Linked DNA regions of Rhinolophus ferrumequinum. The protein of the gene in region 4 interacts with the protein of the main gene of each other region in a pairwise test. Links are inferred from orthologs where the notes say so. Each region holds a gene or a part of one and is shown on either strand. Other genes may lie near its edges. The genes, in order: TXN2, GRAP, USP15 and TRIM21.

Region 1 (7,093 bases), on a different chromosome or scaffold from region 4:
GCTGCTGTGCCAGTGTCAGGTCTTTATTTTCAGAAAGGGCTGAGGGGGTTTTGTGTAATTGCTGGAAACTCAACAGAACGTGAATCACAACAGAACCTGAAACCTCCTTCTAGAATTTGCAAAACCTAAGTCCTAGTTCCAATTGTTCTCCAACAGCGATAAAAACAAATTACCATCAAGATGGAAACTGAAAACAGATACTTCTACCAGCAACACCTCCTGGAGAGGAACTCATTATCAGCTTAGACTGTGGCCCATTGCCTCTGTCTGCATTGTTTCCTTTCTTTCTTTTTGTTTTTAAGGTGCCTCCCTCCAGCCATGAAATCCTCGGACACACGGGCACAGAGAAGCACCTTTCCCGCAGCCCTGAGCCCCGCGATCGGCCCTGCAGGCCTGAGGGAGCCGGGCCTGCCATGGAGGAGGCTGGAAGACCCACAGTGCCACCACGTGGGTGCCTCTGCTCATGGCCACTGCTGAGCAGCAGTGCCTGCCACCAACTGCAATTCCCTATGTCGCTCTCCGATGGCCTCGATTGGCTGGCTGGTCCCTGGGACTTAGCCGGGAAGAGGCAGCAGTCTAGTCCAATCAGATCCTCATTAGGGGCAGCAGAGCACCTTTAAGCTTCCACCTCCGACTATCTGGGTGACCCTGGACAAGGTATCGATCCTGCATGCCTCGGTTTCCCCATGTGTAAGTTGGAGGCTGTAACAGTACCAACCTCATAGGGTTGTAGGATTAAATGAGTTAATACATGTAGGGTGCTTAGAACAGTGTCAGGTGCTTGGAACTCTTCAGTCTCTCAGTAGCTTTCAAACCCTTTGACCACGATCCACAGTTAAGAAATACATTCTACATCACAACCTAGGACATACAGATACGTAACATGAACAAAATAATACTTATAAGATGCACCATACGCCGATATTTTCAATTCTGTTTGTCTTTTTAAAGCTGATCATAACCCACTAAACTGATTTCATAAACCCACTGACGGCTCATGGCTCACGTCTCACAGTCTGAAAAACACTGCAATAAATATCAGTAAGAGATAGCAACAGAAGCTTTACCCTTAGCTCAGGCTGCCAGTCCTGGCTTCCTTCCTTCCGCCTCCCACCTGTGCTCTGAACCTGCCTTATGACTTGGCAGACGAGCCACCCTTAGCTCAAGAGCCCCTTTGTAGCCAGAGGGTGCTGCCTTCTCCATGTGTCTCCCAGACTCTCTGCAGGAAGGAAGGAGCTTCATTCATCACTCACCAGGCACTGACAATGGGCCAGGCCCTGTCCTCCCTCCTTCCCACAGCCTCACAGTCCTATGAGGAAGGCATCTTCCCATTTCTCAGATGAGAAGCCTAAGGCTGACAGAGGTAAAGTGCCTATGGAACAAGAATAAATCGGACTGGTTCTCCTTTGGATTCAGAATGTGAATTAAGCAAGGAAACTGGCCTTCCAGAAAATGCTATGGAAATGCTGAATAGGGTTGATCGATGGCTCTGAAAGTGCTGGAGACACAGAAAAACAGAAATGAAAATGGACAGGGTGGAAGTGCCCTGCCAGATGGCATCTGACATTAGGAGGAACAGCTGCACCAAGGGATGTTGGCCTCAGTAGAGCCAGGAGTACTGAGGGGCATCACCACTGTTGGCTCCTTTCCTACATGGGGACAGAGGCAAAAGCAAGAGGTCAGACTGGGTGGAGAAGGCCATACCTGCCCACACCCTCACCTAGTCTCCTGCTGCTGATGGACAGTGACTATAAAGTGTAAGGCTGACATGGCTGCTGGTGGCCCAGGGAGGTGGGCCAATCGCAAGTATTTCCTCCCTGCAACCCAGAAGGTCCCTGAACTGCTGTGGCTGTGGACCCGCCCACCAGGGCAGTGAGGGAGTGAACCTGCCATTCGGACACATCATAGCACGATGCAGTCAAGATGAACTGGAAAAAAAAAAAAACATGGCCATTGTTTTGGAGGCAAAATGAGGCTATGCAATGTGGTGGGGAAAATGAAATTTAGGGTGGAAAGATTTGATGTGGGTCCCTGCTCTCTGTTCATGGAAAAATCACCGAGTACCTTCTATGATGCGCCAAGCCCTGAGGTAAGCAATGGAGAGACAGACAGACCCCCAGAAGCCACTGACAGATGCACAGGGGCTGTGGAAGCTCAGAGGAAGGCACCTACTCCCATTCAAGGAGGCTCAGGGAAGGGGCTCCAGAGATGAGGCCTAATCTGCATTTATCTGGTAGCATTTTCTCAGGCAGAGGGAAAAATCTTCCAGTCATAGAGTAGCAACTACAAAGTACAGGGATGGGAGAAACACACAAACTCTGGAACTGTGATTCCCACTGGCTGGAGTGTAGACTGACATGGAGGTGTGAGATGGACTGCCAAGTTACCTCCTTCATGACCTTGGACAAGTCACGTAACCTCTGACTGTAAGCCACTCCCTAAGAGATCCAAAGACGGTCAGCTTACTGAGCATCTATTGAACGTCCTCTGTGATCGGGCACTGGACCATGTTGGTACTGGACATAGTCATCTAAAAGCTACGCATCCCTACTTTCAGAAAGCATATGCTCTAGGAAAGCGACACTGTGATGTGTTCTGTAAGAGTGATGAACGAAGCACTAGAGAGAAGGAAGCAACTGATGCTGCTCAAAGGTGATGAGTCGTGTACCAAATCTACCAAACGGAGAGAGAAAAAAAGCATTTCATGTGAAGCAAAGGCAGGCAGGAAGAAAAAGACTGATGTCGTCATAGAACCGTGAGAGGCCAGGAGTGGTTGTCATGTAAGGTACAGGGTGCAGGGGAGACAAGAGGTAGCTGTGACACGTCGGGGACACACAGGTGCGTAGATCCCTGTGTCCACTGACAGTGATGATGGGTGTTGTGGGGAAGGAACAAACTTTCTTCTACCTCAAGGCTCTTTCGGTCTAATAAAATAGATGAGGGTTTTTTCAACTGGTCTAATAACCAAATAGACAAGAGACAGATTAGCGAGAGAAAAGAACCAAATTGAATACGTAAATATGTATGGGAACCCCACAGACACACACATGCACAAGAGGTTCAGAGACAGAAAGGGAACCCATGTGGGTATATCAGGCATCCTGAGCTAGGGATGAAATAAGATGTGCTGGTGGCTTACAGAGTCACTGCAAAACGATTAGGAGCAGATGTTTCGTAAATAGACGTTTGCCCAACAGGCGGGTCAAAAAGAGATTATTGCTGATAATCTCTTATTATGGGCAAAGCCCCCTAATTCAAGCTCTGTAGGGAGTTAGTTAATGGGAGGGGCAGAAGTTTCTCTTGAGCCTGAAGCTAAAACTGCCCTTAGCTCAATATAATCCACATACCACAGACGTACATCTTGGGGCGACTAGCTCTAAACCCTCAGTGTGCAACTAAGGCCCAGGCCCAAGCCGGTTCACAGGTCACCACACTTGACCTAGCTTCAAAGGCAGACCCTCCAAGTATCACCACCGTCTGGCGCCTTGCGGGTAACCAGTTCCCCCAGCAACTCCAAAGAGGTCAATGACAAGCCCAGCCCTTCATGTCACATACTGGGACACTGAAGTCCCCTGGGGCTGGCTGACTTGCTCCAAAGCCCGAGGTCATACAGTTGTGAGTTACAGACAAGGGCCAAAAAGCGGCCTCTTGACTCCCAGTCAGGGTCTTTCCATTAATCCGCACTACACCTTTTAGGAGCTTAGCTTCCTCATGGGTAAAATGAAAGAACCTTCCAGCACCTAGAAGTTTTTGGAAGACAATGAATGAGGCACAGGGGTAGGCAGCGCTGGTTGAAGTTAAAGCAGCCTGACTTTGCAAACTCCAGAACTACACCTCTCTTACCCGCCATCCCCATCCTATTTCTTCCTCTCGTACCTCCCTCCAGTTCCTGCTTCCTTTCACCTCCTCTTCCGGACCCTCGTATATGGCCCGCCCACTTCTTCCGGTCCCTCCCCCGACAGCAACCGCCTTTTCCGGTCCCTCCCCAAAATCCCGCCCCCCATTTTCCGGTCTCTCCCTACTAGAGTCCCTCTCTTCCGATCCCTAACTGAGGTTCCGCCCCTTTAAGTGTTCCTTCCTCCGCCATCCCCATTGGCGGAAAATCCCAGCTGCCCCTCCAGGTTGCCTGCCCGGAAGTGACGATCAAAGGCCCTCCTCTAAGGAAGTGACGGCAGGAGTGCCCTTGACAGGCGGGGTGGGCCGGGCTGTGCGTCTCTCCGTTCGTGCTGCGGGGAGGTAGGAGGCCCGGGGACGCGGGTGGCTCGAGGTGGTGCCCCGGCTGAAGCACGCTGCGGGCGCGTTCCTATGGCGTCCGATGGCTGAGTGGGCGGAGGCCCCGGGCCGGAGGACCTGCCCTCCGGAGAGCCGGGGTCCCTGGTGACGTCCGCTTTCCCCCGTTCCCTCCACACGCGCGTTCCTTTTTTAGTTCTCCCCCAGACTCCTGTTTCTGTGCCTTTTAGTTCCTCCTGGAATTGTTGTGGTTCCTCTTTCCTGATCCTTTGACAAGCCCCCTTTTTCCTTAATTTCCCATTAAAACACTTTTTAAAAAAGTAATCGACAGAGTAAGGATTTTGCAGACAGCCTTGGGTTCCAGTGTTGACTCTCATTTTACAGTTGGGCTACTTTGGGAGTGTCACAGCTTAACTGAGCCTCGGATTCCTTATCTGTAATACGGGCAATACTCTAGAAACTTTCTTAGAGTTGATCTGGGAGGACTATAATGTATGTAAGGCATTTAGCCTTTAGCAGGTGCTCCGTAAATAAGGGTTTCTCCCTTCCCTTCTGTTATAATCCCATCAATATCTGATTTCGTTTTTATTGTCAACCCAGTTTTGTCCTCGTTTGCAATTCCTTCCCTTTAATTCTAGTTATTTGCTCACCTCTACTGCAAAAATGTTATATATTATTTCTTGGTATTTTGCTTCCAGCCCTGCATCTTGAGCCCCAGTACTCCCAGATACCTGTCTTTTTCTGGTGTTTTGACTTCCTGTTGTCTTCAACAGCTCTTCCTGCCTCTTCCCCTGACGTATGGCTCAGCGACTTCTCCTGAGGAGGTTCCTGGCCTCTGTCATCTCCAGGAAGCCGCCTCAAGGTTGGCGGGAACCCCTCACCTCCAGGGCCCTGCAGACCCCACGATGCAGTCCTGGTAACCTGACAATAACACCCAGCCAAGCACGTTCAATATTCAGCACCAGAGTCTGTTCAACAACCTTTAACATCCAGGATGGACCTGACTTTCAAGACCGAGTTGTCAACAGTGACACACCAGTGGTTGTGGATTTCCATGCACAGTGAGTCCTGGGAGTCAAGAGAAGACTGGGGTGTCACTTGTTCGGATATTTTTGAGTGCCTGCTATGTCTCAAGGACCATGGTTGGTGCTTCTCATACATACTCACTACAAACACTGGGAGACCCAATCCCTGCTCCCTAAAATTGAGTGCAGTCTGATAGGAAACGGACTAGTAAACAGTCTTCAAAGTTCCCTGTGGTTAGTGCTGGGAATCGCTTGTGTGGTGTATCTCACTGCCTGAATGGTCCAGAATCATCTTCAGCTTGGACCAAAGCACGAAAAATATGACTACAGCAGCATTTGGCTTTAGCATATGTCAGTTTCTGGCCCTGCCGAGAACGCTGATTTTATTTTAACATCTTAACCACCAAAACTGGGAAGGGATGGCAAAAAGAGACCAGTGCCACTGCAGTGGTGCCCGAGGTGTGGGGGATGGGCGGGGGAAAAGATGAGTTTCTTTTCAGTGCTGTGAGAGTTTGTTTTCGGGATATTGAAATGCCTACGGCCTACTGGTTTTTTTAGCCTGGCCTTCATTTCCAGGCCCTTGGGGCCTGGTTAGGCTATTAGAAAACTGGACAAGCCCCCTCCGAATGAGATATTCTGGAAGGAGCCCGTGGAGCATCAGTTACAGGTTGGGAGGCTTGTGGGGCAAATTTCTGACAGATTCTTTCTGTTCTTTCTTTCCTGTTCTTTCTCTGACTCACCATGTCGCCTTGGGAAGGCCATTTGATGTCCTTGTCCCTCCCTTTCTTCACTTGTGATAGGAGATAAGGTCTCGCAGCCTGGGTTTTTTTGGTGTTGTAAGTTCATGAATTGAAATCTGAATGGAAAGGGTTTTGAAGGCTAAGAATAAAATAGGAGTCATCAGCCAGGACTCCATGTTCTGCCCTCCTGGTACAGTGAGCACTCCAGGGTTTCCAAAATGAACGATAAGTGGGGTGAGATGCTTCATTTTCTTCTCCAACAAGGAAGCAAGGTGTGAGTTTGTTTATTCAGTGCCAGGCACTGTCCTGGGTGCCACATACCTAGGGATGAGAGCCTGTTCTCAAAGAATCAACACCTAGAGGGGAACACCTGTGTTTAGTGCAGCACTAGCCATTGACACAGGGCCGGGGCTAAAAGAAGACACTTAGAACGCAACCTTGGGTTCTAGTCGCAGCTGTGCTTCTTACTAGCTCTGTAACCTTGCACAAGTTTCTTAACTTGTATGGGCCTCGGTTTCTTAGATGTTTTCTTGTCCTTCTCATGGTTGAGGGTTCTATGAAGTGAAAGCTGAGAAGGTCCTGGCGTATTAGACACTCCCTAACCCCTGGTTTCTCCTCCTTTTAGTTCCGAGTCAATGAGGTGTGTGAAGTAATTATTCAGCTGACAAAGCATATTTATCCACATGATCTTACTTAGTGGATTTCTCATTACAGCTTTGAGAGGTATAGTCTCTCTTTTTCAAATGGGGAAACGGGCCCTAGAACGGTCAGCTGGTGCGTCAGGAGCCTCTCTTTGCATCCAAACCTTTTTGCTTCAAATCCCATGTTCGTCTGCATGACAGTGTGTTTCTTTTAGACGTACCGAAATAAGTGAAAGAACCTTTATCAGAGTCTTGAGATCAGGCCTGTGTCTTAGAAGTTAGGGACCTGTGAGACTTCTCCAGTTGCAGAGTCTGCTGACGTTACCGTTTGGGATGTCAACATCACAGGTTAATATTCAAACACTGTAAACAGAGGTAATAAGGACAAAAGTCCTTCAGTAAGATATGTGTCAAGAGAAGGTTCTGGGGGCCCGTACGTCGGTTGGTGAGCACGTTT
Region 2 (7,573 bases), on a different chromosome or scaffold from region 4:
TTTTTGTCATGTATTTTTTCTTAGTTTAAGCCACCTTCATTTCTTACCCAGTAGATTTCAACAGCCCCTCCCTGCTTCCATTCCTGTCCCCTGTGTTATCTTTTTAAAACATAAATCTGACCAAGCCATTTCCCTGATGAAAATCCTTCAGTGAGTGCACGTCACATTTAGAATGAAATCAAAATCCTTCACTGCTGCCTACCTACCAGCCTCATCCTTACCTCACCCTTCTCACTCACTGCTCTTCAAGCAGACCTTTCTCTCAAGTCTTCAAGCATATTAATATGACCCTGCCTCAGGGCCTTTGCACCAGCTATTTCCCCAGCCGGGTACTCTTGGCTCTTTGCGTGGTAGTTTCCTGTTTATCCTCCCGTCCTCAGCTCAGGGGTCACCTCTTTTGAGAGACTGCCCTGACCGCCTGCTGGTCACTGTACTCCATCTCCCTATGTTGATTTCTTCAATCCACCTCGCACCTCCTGATGTCACTTGCCCTCTGGATCGTCAGCTCCAGAAGTGCAAGAACTTTGCTTTGTTCTTTGCTGCATCCTCAGCACTTAAAACAATGCCTGGTACAGAATAGGTGCTCCATAGCTCAACAGAGAACAGACTGGTGGTCACCAGAGGCAGGGGGTGGGGGAACTGGGTGAAGGCAGTCAAAAGGCACCGACTGCCAGTTATAAGATAAGTAAGCTCTAGGGATGTAGTGTACAGCATGGTGACTACAGTTCATCATTCTATATTGTGCATTTGAAGGTTGCTGAGAGAGTAGATCTTGAAAGTTATCATCAAAAGGGAATAAATGTAACTATGTGCGGTGATGCAGGTTAAATACACTAACAGTGGCGATCATTTTGTGATACAGACATGTATCAAATCATTATGTTGCATACCTTAAACCAATACAATCTCATATGTCAATTATATCTCAATAAAACTAGAAAAAATAGCTCAACAAGTGTTGAACGAAGGAAAAGGCAGCCCCTCCCTCTGCCTTCATTCCAGCCCCTCATGTTTTGAGCTTTAAAGGTCCCCTCCTCGGTCTCCACGGACATGAGGTACAAGTCCCACTGGGAGGATACCCTAGTTTCAGCTAACATTTTAATTCTTTCCTTTCTTCCTCCCTTCATCCCTTCATCCTTCCCTCCCTCCCTCTCCCCTTCTTCCCGCTCCCCTTTCTCCCTCCCTCCCTCCCTCACTTCTTCCTTCCCTCCTTCCTTCCTTCTCTCTGTCTTATTGAAAGCCTCCTATATGCCAGGCACTGTTTCATGTCTTGGGGCTCCAGCGAGATCCCTGCCCTCATGAGCTCACTCCTTCCTCAACACACCTGGAGTTGGCTGACACTACAGCAAAGGTTAGTGGAAAACCTGACTAATCTAGGGGTGGGGATGGTGGGCGCAGGAGCCCAGGAGGGAAGTGGCGATGTGACGTCTTTGAAATTGCCTTGGAGAGCCCTCGCTGATCCACTCCGTCCACTCTGAGCCCTCCCCGTTCCTATTCCCTCACTGCTCCGCTCCCTCCCAAGCCTCAGGTCCGGCTTCAGAGACCCGAAGCTGCTCTCAGACAGTAAGTGAGGCCTCTGACTGGCTCTCGGTGGCATGCCCTGCCTGGACAGTCTCGGTGCTAAGCCCGCCCCATCCCCAGCTGGCCACATGTTCATGGGGCCCCCAACCAGCAGCTCCGGTGCACACAGGTACCAGCATCTGGCATAGAGAAAGTGGTTTCTCAAGGGGACACGGTTCCTCTTGGGGGACATCAGCCTCCCCAAACCCCCAGCCCAGCCCATTTGGCCTCACAGAGGACAGAACACAGTTTTCAGAGTCAAAGGACATAGGTCCAAATTTGACCCCATACCAAGCAAGTCATGGCGTTTTCCTGTGCCTCAGTTTAGTCACCTCTGAAATGGGGATGCCAATCTTCCCCACCTCAACAGCTTAAATGGGACACAGATACATCATTGCTGAGCTTGGGACTGGATAGTGCAGGATGCCAGCTAATGGGAGTTCTTATCCCTTCTTGTGCTTGAAACTTCGGGCCAAGCACAGGGCCCAGGGCTCAGCGTGGAGCGACATCCGTGCTAATGCCTGCAGCTATAGTGCAGGGACTGAGGCCCAGGGACAGAGGGACTTTCTCAGCATGAGTTAGTGGCAGTTACCGCGCCTAAGGCTTGCCATGGCCACTCTTGAATCCAGCCCCTGAGCTCTGCTTTCGTATGCAAACTTGTAAGCAAGGACATTTCCAGAGAGAGATCTCAGGGATCCATCTGTCTGGAACGCCCCTGGAAGGCTGCAATGTTCATTAAAAGGGCCCCAGACAAGGAGAAATGAGCTGTGGCAGGACTCTATTTTCTTTTTTCTCCATGGTGCTGGGAAGCTCATTCCTGACACTTAAATCACAGCTATTTTTATCTTAATAGGTTAGTGTGCGTACTTATTTCTTTTCTAAGAACTTCCTCCTTTCCTCCTTCTCCTCTCTCTCTCTCCCTCTCCCTACTCTCTCTTTCTCTGTCTCTCTCATCTCAACAACTGTCTTCTCAAATTCTTTGGAAAACTGGGTGCTGAACCAGCTCCTGCCAGGCACTGTGCTAATGTTTCCTTGAATCCTCACAATGGCCCCCCAAAACGGATCACTAATTATCTCCCTGTTTCCTAGATGGGGAAACTGAGGCTCAGAATGGCGAAGTGGCTTGTCCTGAATCACACAGCTGATGACTGGAGAAGCTGGGCCTGTCCTCCAGAGACTGGACTCTGTTTGGGGGGGCTCTCCTGGGCCCCTGGTTCTTAAAGCCCCCACCCCAAGTGGGGCCCACTCAGCCCGCCCTGTCCACCCTACCTTGAGTGTGTCCCCCTTGTTGAAAGCCAGCTCGTCGCTCTCCGTGGCCTGGAAGCTGTACAGGGCCACAGACTCCATCCCGCTGTCCTGGAGCCCCAGCACTGGGCTCAGAGCAGGGCTGGCAGCTTCCTGCTTCCTCTGCAGTGGAGGACCGTCTTCCTTTGTTTTGAGAGCTTGTTTGTTCTTTTGAAGCTGAGACTGAAACTGCCCCTGACAGGGGAAACAGGAAGCAAAGATCTGTCGCAGCGCACGGAGGGTGTGGGAGCAGGCCTGGCCCCACCTCAGACCCCAGAGGCCAGATTAGCCCTTGGGGAGTATCCAGGCAGCCCTGGGAATGGGTCTCCCTCCTTGTCCCCATGTTACAGATGATAAAACTGAGGTCTCCTGAGGAGAATGCTGCAAAGCCGTCCTGCCAGCTCAAGCATCGTATCTTGTGGTCCCCGCGACCCCCACCGCTGTGCCAATCTGTCCATCATATTTTCTAGACTTTGATACCTCCCCTGACTCCCGATGTCCACAACATCAACCCCAATCTCTTTTCCTGGCATTCAAGGCCCTCCCAAGCCACTGCCTCCACGCATCACCACACCCTTCTCCAGACTCGGCTCATCCTTTGTTACTCCCCTTCCTTGTAAACAAACCTCGGGCTCAGCCCCAGCTGGGGACACAGCACACGTTCATTTCATCTCCCAGGTTTTTGCCCACGCATGTCCCTCTGCCTGTTGTCCTCGCCCTCTTTCTCCTACCAGAGACTCCTATTCATCCATCAAAGCCCAGCTCAGAAGGTGTTTCTTCTGGTTTAGACACAGGGCATCTTCAGTGGGATGGAGACCCTACAGTCAAAAAGAACTGCAAATAAATCTTGAGCCTTCCTCAGTAGGTTTGTTATGGATAGTGGTACTGGGATAGCAATTCTGATTATGTGAGTATTGTGGCAAAGAGCATACACGGATAAATACGGTGATGTTGTTCTCCCCAGGGAAGAAAGGAGACACACAACTGGAAGTGGAAAGTGAGGAAGAAGCCTGTGGTGTTAGATGGGAAGGGAATTAGATGGGCCAGTGTGAAGCAAGATTAATTTTTTATGTAAAATACAATTTTTCCTCTTTCATTTATATCAGTATGGTTATATTATACTTTTATATTTTAGTCAATGGATAATAATCCATTACTATCACGATTTATTTTTGATGCTTAAATTGTCCCCGACTTGGCTTGCGGAGCCCCCTGCAAGCTGCCTCCCGGTCCTTTTGACAAGTCCCATCGTTCCCTGAGCACGTCCTAACTTTCCGACAACGTGTTTCAGGCTCGCTCGGGACTGTTTTTGCCCCAGCCCTGAAATCATCCATCTCTCCAACGAGATGGAAGATGTTTGGAGGAGGATGGTGTTTAGAAATGAGGACTGAGCTGGAGGTAGGTATGCTTATTACTGCGGTGCTGTCATTGCGTGTAGACCCTCCCTGCAGACAGAGCTAAAGAAAAAATATATATATGGATATATATATATACTCATTTATATAAACATACTCATTTTTTCATATAAACTCATTATATATGTGCTATATATAAACTCATACATATACACACACACACACACACACAAACTCATTATATATACAAACTACAAGTATGTATACATATGTATATAATGAGTTTTTGGAAGAACTATATTTCCTAAAAGACAGAGTGTGCCCATATTTCTATACTTATTTCTATGAGTGTGTATACAGTTATGGATAATAGACTGAAAACCATGAACTCAGTCAGACATGAAGTAGTGGACCTAGGTGAGGGTGGATGGATGTCTGTGCACCGTTCCTACAGATTTTCTGAAGATCTGAAAATTTTCTCTATAAAAAGTTGAGAAGATATATGTGAATCTGCAGTTATCTCAAAATAAAAGGTTTAGGTTGTTATTGTTGTTTTGTTTTGTTTTTCAGTTGCAAGGAAAGAAGAGGAAGATGGCAGAAACTCGTCGCCTGGAGCCCCCCGGTGGCGAGGTAATAGCCTCCCAAGCCTGGCTGGGCCCATCTGAGAGCCTCACGTGGTCTCAGCTCCCAGCCCCTTCCTGTCTTCTGCCTGCCCCAGACCCCAGGGTGACAGGATGTAATATGGCTTCTCTTTCCGGCTCAGTTTCAGCTGAGGTTTCAAAGCCTCAGAATGGTGCTATCGGGGGGTTGAGACGCACTCCACCCTAAATCTGAGGCACCTGGAGGCGAGCAAGCAGGGGCTCCCTTTATGAAGCTGAGCATGTGTCCTCTGGGGCTTGTGAACCAGGTGGGTGTTTTATTCTATGTTTTTTATTTTATTTTTTCATTCTATGTTTTTCAAAGTACTTATTCTGTGCAAGTCATGCATAAAAAGATCGTACAGCTGGTGAGTGGCAGGGCTGGGGTTCACATCCAGGCCGACGTGAGCCCAGGCCCGTGACACAGCCCCGTGCCACGCGGCCCCCGCCTGGAGCCTGCGCTGTCTGTCACACAGTGACAGTGAGTCAAGAGAGCCGTGCGGGAGTGAGCAGCACATCCTCATGGGCGGGCCAATGGGCCCAGTTCCAGGACCACACAATAGGACTTGACTGAGAGGTTCAGGCACCCAAACTGAGCGTGGGTGCCGGGGCCTAGAAGGAGGGCGCCTCAGAGTTGGCATCTGGGGGAGCACCTAGCCCCATAACACAGCTGCAGCTGGGCTCACCATGGGCGGTCCCTCCAAAGCTGCCACAGGAGGAAAAACTCAGCATTGGCCACTGGTCACTGGCCACAGCGAACCAGCCATGTCCTTAGTCCCTAACCCCCTGTGCAGGCTGATGAACGGGCCAAAGACATCCGAGTCCTAATCCCTGGAACCTGTGAACATCCCCTTAGATGGTGTGGGGGTTCAGAACAAACCACCCCAAGATGTGCCTCAGTGGTATGCAGATTATTTTGAACTAAAGGCAATTTTAGCTTTGGGTTCAAGAGAAACTTCTGCCCTTCCCTTTAACTACCTAGAAGAACTTTTATTAGGGGTCTTGCCCCTAGTAAAAGATTATCAGAGAATATCTTTTTGACCCACCTGTATGGCAGAGAAAACTTTTATTTACTAAACACCTGCCCTTATTATCATCCTGCAATGACCCTTTGAAGCCCCCAAGGTGCATTGCCTCATCCCAGGCTCAGAATGTCTTACATACCTACATCCCCCTTCCTGTCTGTGAACCTCTCCTGTCACTGACCCTCATGTATGCGGGGTTCCCATACATAGGTGTGTATGCAATTTGGTTTTTTTCCTCTTGATAATCTCTAGACCAGCCCAAAGAACCACGAGGGTAGAGGAACGTTTGTTCTTCACCTACGACGACAAGGTCAGGGTCTTGAGATGGGGAGATGATCCTGGATTATCCAGGGGGCCCTAAATGTCATCTCAAGTGTCCTCACAAGAGGAAGCTTGGACACAGAAGAAGCAGGTGATGTGACTGAAGCACAATGCTACACTGCTGGCTTTGAAGATGAAGGAAGGGGCCACGAGCCAAGGGATGCAAGGAGCACAGTTGTAGAAGCTGAGAGAGGCACGATGGGCCTCCCCTGGAGGCTCCCGAACGGCCAGCCCTGCGATGCCCCAACTTTGGCCCAGTGAGAGTGGCTGTGGACTTCAGAACTTCAAAAATAGATAATCATTTTTGTTGTTAAAACCACTTACACTTGTGGTGACTTGTTACAGCAGCCACAGAAAACAAAAACACCCCCTCTCCTTTGGGCTGAGCCCAAGGGGGTGACTCTCAGAAATGGCAGCTTGAGACTAGGAAATGGAGACAGAGAAGAAATTGACCATGACTTCCCATTCCAGGGCCAGAGCTGAGGTGGAGGGGAGGGCATCGGGGACTGTAATTTCAATGAAGGTTGGAGTTCTGTAATTGTTAGACGAAACTGGACCTTTGAACACTCCGAAGAGGCTGGTAGGGGGGTATTTTTTACCACCCAGATTGACTGAAAATCTTAGGGACCTCCCTAAGTTTTCATCCTGGGGCAAGGAAGTTCAATAAGAAAGTGGAGAGAGAATCTAAAGAACAGAATAAATGAGCAAACAAATCACAAACAGGCACATAGATACAGAGAACAAACTGATGGTAGCTAGATGAGCAGGGGTTGGTGGATGGGGGAGAAAGGTGAAGAGATAAGGAAGTACAAATTGATAGTCACAAAATAGCCATGAGCATGTGAAATCCAGTATGGGGAATACAGTCACTAATATTGTAATAGCATGGTACGGTGTCAGGTGGTTGCTGAACTTACCATGGTGATCACTTCTTTAGGTATATAAATGTTGAAAAACTGTGGTCTATCCCTGAAGCTAATATAGTATTGTATGTTAGCTATATTTTTAATAAAAAATTTAAAAAAGAAAGTTCTCCCTAAGTTCCTTGACCATCCTTATAGCCATTGTTTTGAATTTGGTATCTGGTAGGTTTCTTGTCTCTATTTCATTTAATTCGTTTTCTGGAGTTTTGTCCTGTTCTTTCATTTGAGACATATTTCTTTGTTTCCTCATTTTGGCTGCCTCTCTGTGTTTTTTTCTATGTATTAGATAGATCTGCTATGTCTCCCAGTCTTGACCAGGTGGCCTTATGTAGTAGGTGCCTTGTGAGGCCCTAGCACAGTCTCCCTGATCACCTGCTCCAAGTGCTCCAAGAGTGTCCCTTGTGTGGGTTGTGTGTGCCCTCCTGTTATAGTTCAACTTTGATTGTTTTTGGCATGTCAGTAGGTGG
Region 3 (7,340 bases), on a different chromosome or scaffold from region 4:
CCTAGTGTAGATCAGTGTTACTTTCATACCTCACCTTTTTAAGAGGTATAACTCTCTTGCATCAATTTTGACTTTTTTGCGATTATAAAGTCTAGTACAAGCATATCATAAAGTTTGTGTCTCCTCATCTCAGACTTGTGTAACTTATTTTCATCTCTAGAAAGTCAGTTTGCAGGTAAAAATCATTCACTATTTACAAATAAACAGAAACTCTAGTATCCACGCAGAATCAAATCTTTATCCTTGTCCAGGTGTTAAGAGTTAGTTACCAGAATACAAGACAATCCTATCCACAAAGTGCTCACAACCTAGTTAATGAAATTTATTCATCTTAATACATGTGACTATAACATCAAACATCAGTATTAAACTTTCAAGAATAAATTTATGGTAAACCTACTATTTTTTCTCAATAGTCCAGTCTTTCCAAGACGGTTATATACATATACCAAGAAAATGTTCCTTTTGCATATGGCCCATTTTAGCTATAAGACAGGGTTTGCCAAATACCCATAAATGATTAATCCAAATAGTAAAAGAAAATTAAAAAGAGAAACAACTTTTTAATGAGTTAAAAACTAATTTTTAATGAGTTCCAAAAACATAAGCCCAAACAACAAATGATTAAGTATCTTTACCAGTTCTGTACTTAGGAATACATTATCAAATTTGTACTTATCAAATTATTGTCCCTAAAACTGAATCAAACTTTTGCTAAAACAAAACAAAAACACAAACTTCTGCTTTACATTACTTCCGTTTTTGACAGGTTTCACCTGCTAATTGCAAGTAAACTAGCTCACATATTAAACCAAACTGGTCTCTGCAACTCCTCAGTACTATCTTGCTCCTGTATTTTTCCCCCTTAAAATAAGCAAAGAAACCAATGTGAGAATAAATTCTACTGTTACCTAAATATCTGCGCTTCGGTTTCCTTCTCTTTAAAATAAAAACATCAAAATGTTCAAATTTATGAACTTCCTTTATTTACTCTTTAAAACGATTTGTAGTAACCTTGTCAAAAAGCAAAAATACTTTCATTTGAAAAATACTGTACCAAACTTTAAAAAGTTTAGTGCCTACAATAAACATACTGCTCCTATCATCATGTAGAGTCAACAATACCATTAATACTGATTATACCAAAAACATAACGATATTAAAGAGAATATCTATGTAAATGATATCCATATTTTAACTTAAAATAGATTTCTGTTTTATGAAAATCCACATTTATCTCTTTATAAGGTGGTAATAGGCTAGGTGAATTAAGAATTGTTAAGTGTTCTTCAACAAACAATAGCAAGGATTCATTTCATCTTTAACAATCCATAGGCCAAGGTGAACGTGTGTCCTAGGAAATGTCCAATTTCCCCACAGTAATAAACATCTCAAGAACACTCCAATATGAACAATAACATTTATTAAATAATATTTTTGCTCTAATGCAACAAATACACGTTTATGCCCTTGAGATCAGCATATAAACATAGTATGTAGCTATGTAACAAGTAGGAAAAAAGTATCAAGACTTAGATAAAATACTTAAATTCAAGTCCCAAGTCTGCTATTAGCTTACTTGAAAATGATCCTAACCATCACACCATTTTATCAGCATTGATGGCGATAAAAATGCAACTAAAATTTAATGTTATCTCATAAACAGAAAATCTTTTAACTATTTCATTGTATCAAGTTAAAACCCCTATAAAGAAATTATTATCGTCCATTTCATAGATGAAGATACTGAGGTGCAATGATTGAAATGAACTTTCCTCAAAGTCATACTGCAAGTTAAATGGTGGAACAGTGAGTCTTTCAGGTCTAAATCTTATGCTCTTTCTACTAACCCACGTTGGAGCACATGAAAAAACACTCTGTAATATATATACCACTGTTATGGTGATCATGAGAAGTGGAAATATTTTTTATTATAATAAAGAGGCACATTATCCTTCCTAATAAACAGAGCACCTTTTGTTACACATTCATATATTGAAGTTATTCTGGATGCCACTTGATATGGCCGACAAGTATTAAAATCTCTACATACTTCCTCCAGTATTTTAAGTATACCCTTTGATATTTTATAAGTTTGTATATTAACAAGTGACTTAAGCCTCAAGTGGACTTATCTACTTTTTGCAGGCCTATGTTATCCTTCAACCAGGAGGGAAGGGCTGCACTTCTAAGAAACGCTGCCGGTTTCTACCAAGCCTCTACTACAGCACAAGACCACGTGGTATCTCATAAGCCTAAGGTTTCCTACTCCTTCCTCTCCCTCCTTTTGACAAGGAACTGGAAACTAAGGTTTCCTTCTCTTAAGTGGCTCCCTGACACATGCCACCTGTGTAGTACGAACCGAACCGCAAACACCCTGCAGCCTGCCTCCCGGAAGAATACAAGAATCAGAATAATAGGGAACTTGGATGCCGACAATGCCGGGAAAGGAAATGACTGCATAAGTAAAGCGGGTGAGATAGTGATAAGCCGCGGGACCAGGACCTGTCAAACATCAAGAAATTCACGCTGAGCCACTGTAACCTATCCTTCGGGAAAGGCCTTAGGTGGGAGCGGCACTACGGAAGGAAGGAGGACGAATAGAACTACACGAGCCGCCACTGCCGCTCACCGTAAGCCTCTCGGCCTGTCTCGATAAGCCACGAACCCTGACCCTCATCTCGGGTCCAATCTTCGCCCCAACATTTCCGGAGTGGCCAAAATCCTGCTGCCCAGGGCGGCCGCCGCCGGACCTGCCCGCACCTGTCACTAGCGAAAGACACCAGTCCGCAGTTCCTGCCCAGTTCCCCACCATCCTCGAGCAATCGCGGCCACCTCAACCCCTTTCCCTCACCAGGTGTCCCCTTTCCGCAGCGAGGTTTTGAGCAGCGACGCGATGTCAGACCGCTGGATGTCCAGATCCGCCGCTCCGCCTTCCGCCATCTTCTTCCACTAGCGGCAGCGGAGGCGGCAGCGACGGCGGCGGCACGCCCCGGAGCATTGTGGGAATGGCGTCCCGGGGCCCCTCCCAGTCAGCAGGTCGAAACCAAAAGAGATGTAAAGGGGGGGAGCTCCTTCGCCCTGAGGGCGGACTGAGTGCAATGCCGTGGTCTGCTGCCCCCCATCGGCCCTCGCTCGTCCAGCATCTCGCCTTGGCCTCCCGCCCCGGGACCGCCTGGTTTCAACTGTCCTCGGTGGGGCTTCGGTCCTCTCTGGCTTGAGCGGTGCCACCGCCCCGTCCATCCTTGACTTCAGCCCTCTCCTCCCTCTTTCCCACAGACGCCTGAAAACCCCTATTTGCGCATTCATTCACGCTTGAGGGAAGGGTCGGTTAGGGTGGGCGGGGTGGGGGACGTGGGGACGACCAAGATATGGCAGAAATTTTAACAGCCCCGTGACTAGTCATTTCGTTGCGAGTCACAGAACCCAGGCTCGGTTTGGCTCAAACAAAGAACAATCCGAAACCGAACGTTTCGCTGCAATGCCCTTCCTGGGCTCCTTCCTGCGCTCCTACTCCTGCCGTAGGTGGAGAGCTTTTATAAGCTTTTTGAGACGCCTCCCCAGGCACACCCAGGTTGCTAAGCTGCAGTGAAAAACAACTTCCAGTTCCTGGAACCCGGTGTAAAATGTGTGTCGAGTAATGCCAGGTACTAAAGGAAAAGAAAACGTGCAAGAAACCCACTCTCCTGGATGTCATAAAGTAGCATTTTATTAGCCACATCTTCCTATGGTGTGTACACCTGGAACTAGGTAATAATACCAACTTTGATTTGAAGCCAATTGTTAACAAATGAGGAAACTGAATCTCTCAAAAGTCAAATGCCAAGGTCACAAAGAAGAGACGCAAGTATATAACCCAAGTTCCAAAGCCCGCGTGCTGTTTAGTATCAACTATAGCACGCTCACTACTTCTTATGAGAGCCTGAACTATAATTTAAACTGGGCTACACTGGAGCCATTTTTTTTTTATCTCTGTATACCTGGTGGCTAGCACGGTGCTGCCTAATATATAACCATCTAAATAATTGTTTAATAAGTTAATGGTGGCAAAACCGCGTATTTCCAAGCATAAGATGTACAGACATTTTACTGTAACATAAATCATGTGAAAAGTCTAAAAGATGGATAAGAATTCCTGCATGATGTCTCGTTTCCCCATTTTTAATGTCTATATTAGCTCATTTGGTGGGAATGCAGTAAAAGTGGGTGTAATTATGCTAGTAAGAAGTACTGAACCCTTCCAAATTAAAGTATTGGCATTATGATTTTTGTATGTTAGCATCATGATTGCTTATTTTCTTCATTATAATACCATTTTGTATTATCTTGTCATCCTTAATTTCAGAGTCTAAAAACAGCTTCCATTTGCTATTTCTTATCTTTTGACAGGTTCAAAAACTAGAATTTTTCTAACCATGAGTGCCGTCAAAGGTCACATTTCCCCCTTTCCCAGACAACCTCTGAAAGAGAGCAAAGTAATTTTCCAAAGAGAGACAACATGATTTGGGAAGAATACTGGAGTCATAGGAACATGAGTTCAAACCTCACCTGAACCTCTAGCTACAACATACTTACCTTTTATTTCATTTTTAAAGTTAGGGGTAGTAATACTTACCTTAAAGGATTTTTATGAAGATTAAGTGAAACAATATGTGTTTATTGCCTGGGACATAATAACCAACCAATAAATACTACTGTTGTTTACTGATGATAGGATGAATTGTATAGTATATAAATTATATCTCAATAAAGCTGTTGAAAACAATCATTATAAACTTTGAAGGCAAAACCATCCTCTATATCATTTTACAAACATAACATAATTGAGAAGTGGTGCCTCATACACTCTGTTGTCCAGTTTCTTTTTAAAAAAATGCATTTTTGAAATGTTGACGCCTGTATCCATGCAACAAAGTAAAATAAACTTTTCTTCATTTGTATCATATTCCAAGCAATGAGTTAATTGGATATAGATGTGTAAGTTCAATGTCAATTTGAATTATAGATCAGATTTATGAGGTCATTTTGTAGACCTAAGTATTTGCTTTCAGGGTTAGGAAAGAAATAATAGTTACAGTATTTTATTTAACAAACACCTACAGAGTACCAAGCCTAGTTTTAAACACTTTAAGGTAGTAACTTGAGCCTCATAGCAACACTATGAGGTATTATTATTTCCATTCTGTAGGTGAAGAGTTGAGGCAGGTGGCAGAAACCAAATTTGAAACCAAGCAGTCCAGCAGCCAGAGTCTAGAAGTTTGGATAGGCTTTTATTTTTCTGCTAAACTTTATGGTCTTAATTATAGCAATCAACTTTCTAGTGACCTCAGTCTACTAATTTTTGGAAATTCTGCTTATTTGACTTATGCTGCTCTACCCTCGATTATGAAGAAAAATAAGATGTTCATAAATACTAGATTGGTTAGGGTCCACATCTGCATTGAAAAACTAAGTAGATGATGAGAAATGTTACTTTCCCTCAAGTCACACAGAAAATTGAGTATAAGCCAAGGATTACATCTGCTTATTTGGAATGCATATTCTTCATTGACGCTTGCCTTGGTTAACTTTATAAGAACATAGTATTTGCTTGGTAATTGTCATTAACTTCTCAGGTTCTCTGTATCTTTCTTGACCGTTAACAACTTAACTTACAGCTTTGACAAGGGAAAAGGAGCATGCTGAGTACTTCAGAAAGTAGGTTTGGTATGAACAAAGTGCACCTTACATAAAGTAGAGTAGGTTTTGAAGTTAGTCTAGAAAGGATCTTCCAAATAATTCTCCTCTCTGCTCACCAATACTTCTTCAGAAAGGTTCTTGTATTCAACAATCAAGAGATAGGAGTTCAAATGTAAACACTGTTGGAAAGAGTAAGCTTAAAACTAAGGTTCAAAGTAGGTCTGGTTTTCAGCCAGGGATGGACCAGAGAAAGAAATAATTTTTTTTAATAAATAAAATAAATAAATAAATAAAAATAATTTTTTTTAAATAAAGCTGAGTGGTAGAAAGTACAAAAGAGAATTCTAAGACGAGTTTTACCTCCTTCACAATTTTGGTTGGTGCTGGCTGGTTACATGAGCCTAAGGAAAAAACTGCCAGAATCAGCACATCCTCTGAAAGAACAATGATTGATGACCTACCGTGTTTCCCCGAAAATAAGACGTAGCCGGACAATCAGCTCTAATGCGTCTTTTGGAGCGAAAATTAATATAAGACCCGGTATTGTATTGTATTATATTATATTATATTTATTATATTATATTACATTATATTATTATATAAGACCGGGTCTTATAGTAAAATAAGACCGGGTCTTATATTAATTTTTGCTCCAAAAGACGCATTGCAGCTATTGGTGCGGCTAGGTCTTATTTTCAGGGAAACACGGTAGCTGTCTATTTCTTAACACTTCCTATCTTTGGTTTTCAGAAACCAGTTTCACTTTTTCTTTCCACTTTGTGTTTCCTCTACAGTTATTCCCTCCTCACCCCCAATTTTATTCACTGCTCTAAACCTTTCTCTCTTTTTAGTAATTTTGTAACTGTTCTTTCTTTACTAGCTCTCTGAACAGCTAAAAGGCAGTGGAGAGGTGGGGGAATAGTGTAAACACCCAAACAGCATGTAGTAAAGTGCTTAATCTGCTAATGATATTTTGAAACATGAGACATGAATAAAAATTGTCAGTGTCAGGATGCAGTTTTTAAAAACAAACAAATAATATAGAGGCTCCTTATTTCAGACAAATGTTAGAGCCTGATAAAGACGAAGAAAAAGTAGTGAAATGAATACAGTGTCTTGTACAAAGGGAGAGTATACTTGGATTTGGACTCTGGCTCAGTGCCAATAACTAGCTGGGTGACTTAGGCCAAGTTATTTAATCTCTGTGAGCATTAGTTTTCTCATTATAAAGTAAGGTGATTAGACTCTTCCAGGGCTGCAACTCAAATGCCTGCGAGGGTTAGATAGAGTTAGTGTGAATGGATGAAGCCCACCTGTTGTAAAATAGTAAGGAATTGTGGCAACTCTGACAAACTGTCTGCCCCAACTAAAGCTATTCAAATTAAAAAATTAGAACAAACAAAATTATAGTTTTTACCCTAAAGGACCTGGAAAGTTTGATTTTAACATGAGCATGAAGCCTGTAAATTGATTGATCCCAGTCTCTTCCCTTTTTTGTAAGCACACACAAAATGCTATGAAAGCAGCACTACCCTGAAGGTTGATGTCAGTCTACCATCTACTAGATACTCACGGAATGATGATAGATAGAGCTAAACTGAATTGAATCAATAAATAATAAAATAGTCTTATAGGTCTAGAATTATAACAAAAAAAAATCC
Region 4 (6,999 bases):
GGAGGGTGCATTGTAGCTGCCCTACAACCACTGCTGCATTGGCCCATGTTACCAGAGACTTTCAACCTCTTTCAAAACCCAGTCAGCACCCACGTATGTCCTTTTGTCTTCCTATCTTGGAGAATTACTAAGACAGTAACACCTGTCCCCATCCCAACAAGCTCACAAAGATAACACCATTCTTAAGTCCTGGGGAAAGAACGTCTTTGTGATATTCTTTGCTTGCCCTTTTGTGTTAGTGATTGAAGAGTCACCGGATAACACAGGATGACCCTTTTTGCCACCACAGGCTGGTACACTTCCCCGGTCCCAAATCTTCCTCTTCTGGGTTCTACTGGTCATGAGTTCCTTCCACTCCTCTGGCCCTGACCCACCCCACCTCCAAATCACCAGTGCAGGACAAGCTTTAGTTCTCCGTTCTGTTTGAACCAGTGATCTGGACATGGTTAAGCAATCACCTGGTCAGACTGGTTTTCCTACCTCAGGCCTTGGTGGTTCCCTTACGTCTGTTCATCACAGCCCTTGTCATTTCCTAACAGGCCTAGCCACTGGTCATCTCTCCTGGAATACCTGTCCCAGACACCGTGGTGTGGTCATCCCCTAAGACTGGGCTCAAGGAAGAGGAGATTTAGGGTATGGCTTGTCCCTCAGTACCTTCTCCTAAGACTTGATCTTTGTGTCTGATTGGGAGTTCTCTTTGAGCTTCATACTCTTTATGCCCCTCTATCAGGAGACCTAGAGGACTGTTGGTTTTTGAAGAGTGAGATACACACACTCTATCACTCCTCAGACAGGCACAGCTATGGTCAGGGCTTTCTTGAGGCCAGGACCCTGGACCCTGCCTAGGCTTCTGATCTAAGATTCCCTTTGGGATATGACTCTTGCCTTCCAGTCTGTTCTCTTTGTAGCAATATCCACTTCCAACTTCTCAACCGACTCTTGTTCTTGTCTCAGTTTCCCTAATGCCACCTGGAGCTTCTCCTGCACAGAAAGATAGCAGGTTAATGTCCGACCAGATCAAGAAGTAGGGTGGGGTAGCATGAGGTGGGGGAAGGTTTACTGGTTCTTAGAAAAGCTTGTGTGTAGAGAAGGGAGGACTAGTCTGATTGGGGTAGGAATTTTGTGGAAAGGAAAACTTTGGAAAAAGCCTCATGTTTCTTACAAAACAGAGCCACATTGTTGGGGTGGCAGGGGTGAGGGCACTACTTATTCCTAACTAACCAGGAAGCCACAGGGAATCATGATCCTTGCATCATTTTACCATAGCGTCGCCCCTGCTCCTGGGGAATGAGAAGGCTGTGCTGACCCTTAATTTAGACATAAAAAGTGGGGGACACCCATTCTTTCTCTAATCTCTTTACTCTATGGGTGACTCTCTCCCATCCCAGCTCTGGGGAACAAAGCACTCATCAGGGCCCCCTCTCCTTTCTACCTGTTCATGCCTCTGTGCCAAGGCCTCACCTGGTATTCCTGAGCAGCCTCCTCAATCGGGACCATGGGATGGTCACGGTGTTTCCGGGACTGGGAACACACCCAGCAAAGGGTGGTCCCATCTTTCTCGCAGAATAGGTGAAGTTTCTCTCCATGTACTCTACATTGCTTCTTCTGTGTGCCCTCCTTGGCATTCTGGCTGATTTGTCTTAGGTTGTCTACCAGGTTGGCTAGCTGGCGATTTGGCCGGAAGTTCCTGAGCAGGAATTTGTTCCGGCACACAGGACAGACACTGCCTCCACCTTTCCCAACCTGAGAGATACATTCGTTGCAGAAGCTGTGGCCACATTCAATGCTCACAGGCTCCACCATAGGATCCAGGCAGACAGGGCATGTGACTTCCTCCCACATCATTGCCAAGGGCATTGCTGAGGCCATGAGGGGAAATGTTTCTATGAAGTGGCACTATGGAGATCTTGCAGTGACATAATGGGGAGAGGAGAAAAGGAAGGAAGACGACGAGAAAGGTTGTGTGAGAAAAGCGAAAAAAATTAAAAGGCAAACATGAGGGAGAGTGACCGGTAGGGGTTAAAACACAAGAACATTAAGCTGAATGACAAGAGCTTCTCCCCCCCAGTCTGCTCCATTGATCCAGTCACACAGAAGGGGGAAGTGAATCCCCAAAAGACAGTGAAGTTGTTGGGAACTTCAGCAATAAAGCTGTTCACAATTCTACTTTTATCACATTTATCTCTGCTTAAACCCTCAGTGCCCAGGCTTTTCCCATCCATCTTCTCCCATCTCAGGCCATCAGTTCCTTATATATAGTAACATGAATATATACAGAAGAATATATTTATTCTTGTAAGTATATACGTATATCTGTAGGTGCACCTATATATGCATATATGTATACGTATCTGTATATGTATATATGTGTATATGTTTATACAGACACGAATGTGTGGTTAGCACTCAGCACTCCAGGCCCTTCTCTCGGCTACTCCACCCTAGCAGCTTCATTTCCTCCAGGGCATAGATCTATAAACTTCTAACATCCTAAACAACTCTGTCCCTCTCTCCTCCAGAAAGAGACTTTTGGAGATGGGAGTCTCAAGGATTGCAGACCTACCCTGCACCGGGCCCTCCTGGCCCACCCTGCCTCCTAGGTTTCTGGCCTGGTGCTCCCAGCTTCACCTGGCCGCTCGTCCCAGCTCTAGTGCCAGCAACAGGGCAGCCCGAGCTCCTTCCAGGTGACTTGGTCCCGTTCACAGCCCAGCCTCCTCCCAGGGCAGCCGAGTCAGCGCGGGAAAAACTGCTGGGTTAGGGCTGAGTGAGCCCTGCTGCGGAGAAGGTAAAACTGAGAGTGAAGGTTCTAGGGGTGGGCACTGGTTGGAAGGGGCTTCTCAGGGAGGACTGGGGTACCTTGGTCTAGCCAAGTTCACTCACCTTTTCAGGGACTCAGCAGATGGCAGCCGGCTTTTTATTTCACTTTCGATTCCTCTAAAAGGGAAGTCTGAACGGGAGGTAGGCACACGCCCGAGAGTAGGAGGAGCAAGAGGAGGAGAGTACACTGAAGGGGTGGGGAGGGCAGGAGAGGGAAGAGGAAGTGGGAGGAGAGAAGGAGGAGTGGAGGGTCTCAGTATCCGAAGCTGCTGACACCTCTGTCTAGTGCTTCTTGGAGGTTGGGACTGAGTGGAAGCTCCGCAGCGTTTAGTTCTTACTTCGTGCTCCCTCCCATGTCCTCATTGTCTAATACAGTAAAATATCGTATCCACTAGATGGAAGCGTCATCACCCCATGCCAACATGCTATGCCTACGTTTGGGAGCTCTTAGGGAGGTTTGGATGGAGAGGAGAGTGCCTGGAGCTCTCCCTCACATGCCACCATCTGCTGCCTGCTTTCAGAAACAATTCCTTTTCAGGCGATTCAATATTTTAACTTAAGGGTGTAAAAGATTTATTGTGCTTGACCCCAAGGCAGATATCACACCAGTGAGTGGTAAGAAGGGAATTGACAGTTAGTTGTTGAACACCAACTGGGTTCTTGTCACTGAGCTAGGGAGTTTCTCAGGTTACTATTATTTTTATTTTAAAAATTGTAAAATACACCGGACATAAAACTTACCATCTTAATCATTTTTAGGTGTATAGTTTGGAGGCATTACATACATTCACATTGTTGTGTAATTATCACTACTATCCATCCATAGAACTTTTTTTCATCATGCCAAGCTGAAATTGTACCCGTTAAACAATGATTCCCCACTCAGCCTCTGGCAACCACCATTCTATTTTCTGCCTCTATGAATTTGACTATTTTAGGTACCTCATATAAGCGAAATCACACAGTATTTGTCCTTTTGTGTGACTTACTTCACTTAGGGTAATGTGCATGTTGAAGCATGTGACAGGATTTCCTTGCTTTTTAAGGTTGAATAATTTCCATTGTATGTTTATCCATTCATCTGTTGATGGACATTTGAGTGACAACTTCCACCTTTCGACTATTGTGAATAGTGCTGCTATGTCAGGTTATATTATTTAAGCTGCACAACATTTTAGTGATTTAGGGGTTGTTAAACTCATATTACAAAAGAGGACACTGAGCCTGAACGGAGTGTAGTGACTTGTTTGAAGTGACATAGTAAGCATACTTGTATGATAACTAAAGGGCCAGGGAAGATCCTCATTTTAGTGACAGCTGGGACATAACAGGCTGCCCTGTCAGTTCAAGCAGAGGCTTTAGGAACAGCTGGAAGGGATGTTGTTATAGTTGTAGAGGAGGAAGGAGCAAAGAGGAAGGCTAGAAGAATCCTCAATTCCTTTCAACTCTGACATTCTTTTTCTTTTTTGTTCTTTTATAACTTAAGGTAAAAACATCAGTTGAACTTTGCTTGGTATTTTCTATAGATTTAGGAAATGTAAAAACATTTCATGCTTTTTTGAAATTTCTAGTTCTGTTTTTAAGATAATTTACTTAATGCAAGCAATGTGAAAACAGAATGAAAAAAAAAATCCAAGGAAGAAGAGACCTGTACGTGAACTTGCACTCAGAAAAGGACTGGGCTTAACACCACTGCAGCCCCTTTGTTGTTTCCTGCAGGCACAGAGTTAAGCAAGCTACTGTCGGTGGAGGTAGAAAAGAGCAGAGGTCTCACTATAGGACAGGATTCAGTACCAACCCTGCTGTTTACTAGGTATGTACGACCTCTCTGAGCTTCAATTTATTAATTAAATTAGGATATCAATATTTATCCTAATATTTATCCTAATATCTATCAATATTTATCCAGGGTTGCTTTGGTATTGTTCAATAATATGCACACAGATATTTTAACATGCATAACCGCAACAGTCCCCATCTTGGCAATTGGCTATATGAATAATGTTGCCACTCATTTCAAGTCCCCTCACTCACTGCCAGTACTTTAACACTTCAGTGTTCTTTCCTGGTGAGGTGACCCATACCTTCATTCTTGAAAGATCAGTGTTCTCAATGTTCCTGTTTTTAACACATTGGCCATTGCTGTTGGACAATGATATCTAGGAATCTCTCTAATGTGTATTTTCGGTTTTAGGCATAGTCTTTCTTGCCCCTATCACATACCAGCAACCCCAGTTCTCCTTGGTCATAGAGGTAACTCATTCCAGCCAGTATAGAAACCCCATCCTCTTCCTATTTCTTCAGTGGCTTAAGAATCCCCAAAGAGCCAGGAGTAGTTGCAAATTCCCATTTCTTAGAACTAGATTTGCTTACTCTGGTGGAAGGGTTTCTCCTTGTTTTTACAAGACCCTCCAAACAGGGCTGAGCCATATGTTGAGGGATGGAAAGAAAACTTTCCGTAAATGAATTACTAGTTTGATGGTAACAGAGGCCACTTCCACTTTTCCTCTTGATTCTGTGACGAGTGTATGTATACAGGATATGAAAAAAAAGTCACCATATATTAGTTGCTGACTTTAAGCATGTACCAGAATTTATGAGACCACCTAATAATCTCGCAGGGTGGGGTTTCCAAACTGGTGCCATCCCTGAGCCTTTAGTGAGGCATCCCATAGCTTTATTGGTCCACCTTTTCCTGGCTGACGGTGTACATTGTAAGATCAGTGCATTCCACAGGGCAATCCCATTATCAGAATTCTTTGATTGTAAAATCAGATCCTTGGTTGCAGGTGATATTGTCGGGATAGCCTGATGGTGTAAGTTTAAAAATGGTGGTGCTGGCAGAACCAATTTAGAGGGTTTAGGGGGCCAAATGAATTGGTCTCTGGAATATTACCCAACTTGTGAGGACAAATTGCTCTTCGTTCAATGTAACTAACTGTCTTGATTCTCTTAGAAATAGGGAAGAATCTGGCTCAGAGTTGGCCTTTTATGTCCAAGTGCCTACAGCAGCAGGGATAGAGGCTCTGCCTGAGTATGCATTTGCTCTCACTAAGGTTTATCTGTTTACCACTATGGATAAGGATTCTTGTACATAAACCCATTGACCAAGCAACAGGTGACTGGGGCAGAGGCTCAGCAACATCGACGGGGTGAATCATCTTATTTATCTGGTTAGAGGTACCTTCTCTGCATTGTATGTTCTCTAGTGGGTATTCACACGGAACAAAAGCATTTTCACACTCTGGATACTTTCCTGGAAGTTCCATGTGTCCTTCTACCCATAACTCTGTTACCAGCCTTTCAATCTTGTTTTCTTATTTTTCAGCTCCTGACCTGCAGGCCAACCTGTTAGACACGGTGAAGGTGGTATATAAGTAACGTACACCAATTCATCTTTTCTCTCAAGCAAAGTATAGAACCACTTGCTTCAAATACGGTCCACTGGGAAGATTTTCCTTTATCCTTGTCTTACAGGGTGAAATGTATTGGACGCCAATCTTGGCACCATCTCAGATTCCCTCTCATCCTCTTACTCAGCACCCTATCAGTGCTGGGACACCACTCCATACTCATACTGTCACATTTGGATGAAACATCACACTGCAGGGTGTGCGATCCAGATTTCTGAACAGCCATTATAGGCAAATGACATAAGCAAAAAGTACAGGGAGTTAGTTTTCCATGACGTGAACATTGACCGATGAGAAATGGGAGATAGGAGTGGGACAAATAAAATCCCCTCCTTTCTCTCCTCTGGACAATTTCAAGGCGAAGTTCCTCACTGCAGTTCTTCTCGTGAGCAAGCCCACTGGCTGATGGCTGTGTCCTTTTGAAACTCATGAATCATTATCCAGTGTGATAATGCATTTCATTGTTCTACATTTTTTCTTGCCTCACTTCCCTTCCCCCAACTCTGAGTGCCCTCTCTCTCTCTCTCTCTCTCTCTCTCTCTCTCTCTCTCTCTCTCTCTCTCTCTCTCTCTCTCTCTCTCTCTCTCTTTCTCCTCTCCTTGCCTGGTGAATAAAGATCACTAATTTAATCCTACTCCAATTTCATCTGGATGACCTGGTTAATCTTCCTCCAATATTTGCAATGCCTAAACCCAGGTAGAAACCAGATCACCGGAGCCTGGGAAACCCAGCAGTCAGGGATTAACCTCTGACAACAAAGAGGGGAAAT

The links.
Region 1: the proteins of TRIM21 (region 4) and TXN2 interact in binary tests that used the Homo sapiens proteins (3 or more experiments, as listed by UniProt). The two-hybrid records come from large-scale screens. The link is inferred for Rhinolophus ferrumequinum from reciprocal best matches to the Homo sapiens genes TRIM21 and TXN2.
Region 2: the proteins of TRIM21 (region 4) and GRAP interact in binary tests that used the Homo sapiens proteins (3 or more experiments, as listed by UniProt). The two-hybrid records come from large-scale screens. The link is inferred for Rhinolophus ferrumequinum from reciprocal best matches to the Homo sapiens genes TRIM21 and GRAP.
Region 3: the proteins of TRIM21 (region 4) and USP15 interact in binary tests that used the Homo sapiens proteins (3 or more experiments, as listed by UniProt). The link is inferred for Rhinolophus ferrumequinum from reciprocal best matches to the Homo sapiens genes TRIM21 and USP15.

Annotation. Positions count from the first base shown.
Region 1 is NC_046293.1:10,210,764-10,217,856, forward strand, and holds the start of TXN2 (thioredoxin, mitochondrial), read left to right. Parts: upstream 1-4,081; 5' UTR 4,082-4,236; intron 4,237-4,242; exon of another isoform or gene 4,243-4,377; intron 4,378-5,003; 5' UTR 5,004-5,028; coding exon 5,029-5,291; intron 5,292-7,093.
Region 2 is NC_046304.1:306,246-313,818, reverse strand, and holds the start of GRAP (GRB2-related adapter protein), read right to left. Parts: upstream 3,016-7,573; 5' UTR 2,908-3,015; coding exon 2,830-2,907; intron 1-2,829. UniProt on the Homo sapiens protein: Couples signals from receptor and cytoplasmic tyrosine kinases to the Ras signaling pathway. Plays a role in the inner ear and in hearing.
Region 3 is NC_046293.1:60,021,589-60,028,928, reverse strand, and holds the start of USP15 (ubiquitin carboxyl-terminal hydrolase 15), read right to left. Parts: upstream 3,014-7,340; 5' UTR 2,944-3,013; coding exon 2,855-2,943; intron 1-2,854. UniProt on the Homo sapiens protein: Hydrolase that removes conjugated ubiquitin from target proteins and regulates various pathways such as the TGF-beta receptor signaling, NF-kappa-B and RNF41/NRDP1-PRKN pathways.
Region 4 is NC_046294.1:47,069,230-47,076,228, reverse strand, and holds the start of TRIM21 (E3 ubiquitin-protein ligase TRIM21), read right to left. Parts: upstream 3,004-6,999; 5' UTR 2,881-3,003; intron 2,775-2,880; 5' UTR 2,629-2,774; exon of another isoform or gene 2,564-2,628; intron 1,907-2,563; 5' UTR 1,870-1,906; coding exon 1,462-1,869; intron 982-1,461; coding exon 886-981; intron 1-885. UniProt on the Homo sapiens protein: E3 ubiquitin-protein ligase whose activity is dependent on E2 enzymes, UBE2D1, UBE2D2, UBE2E1 and UBE2E2.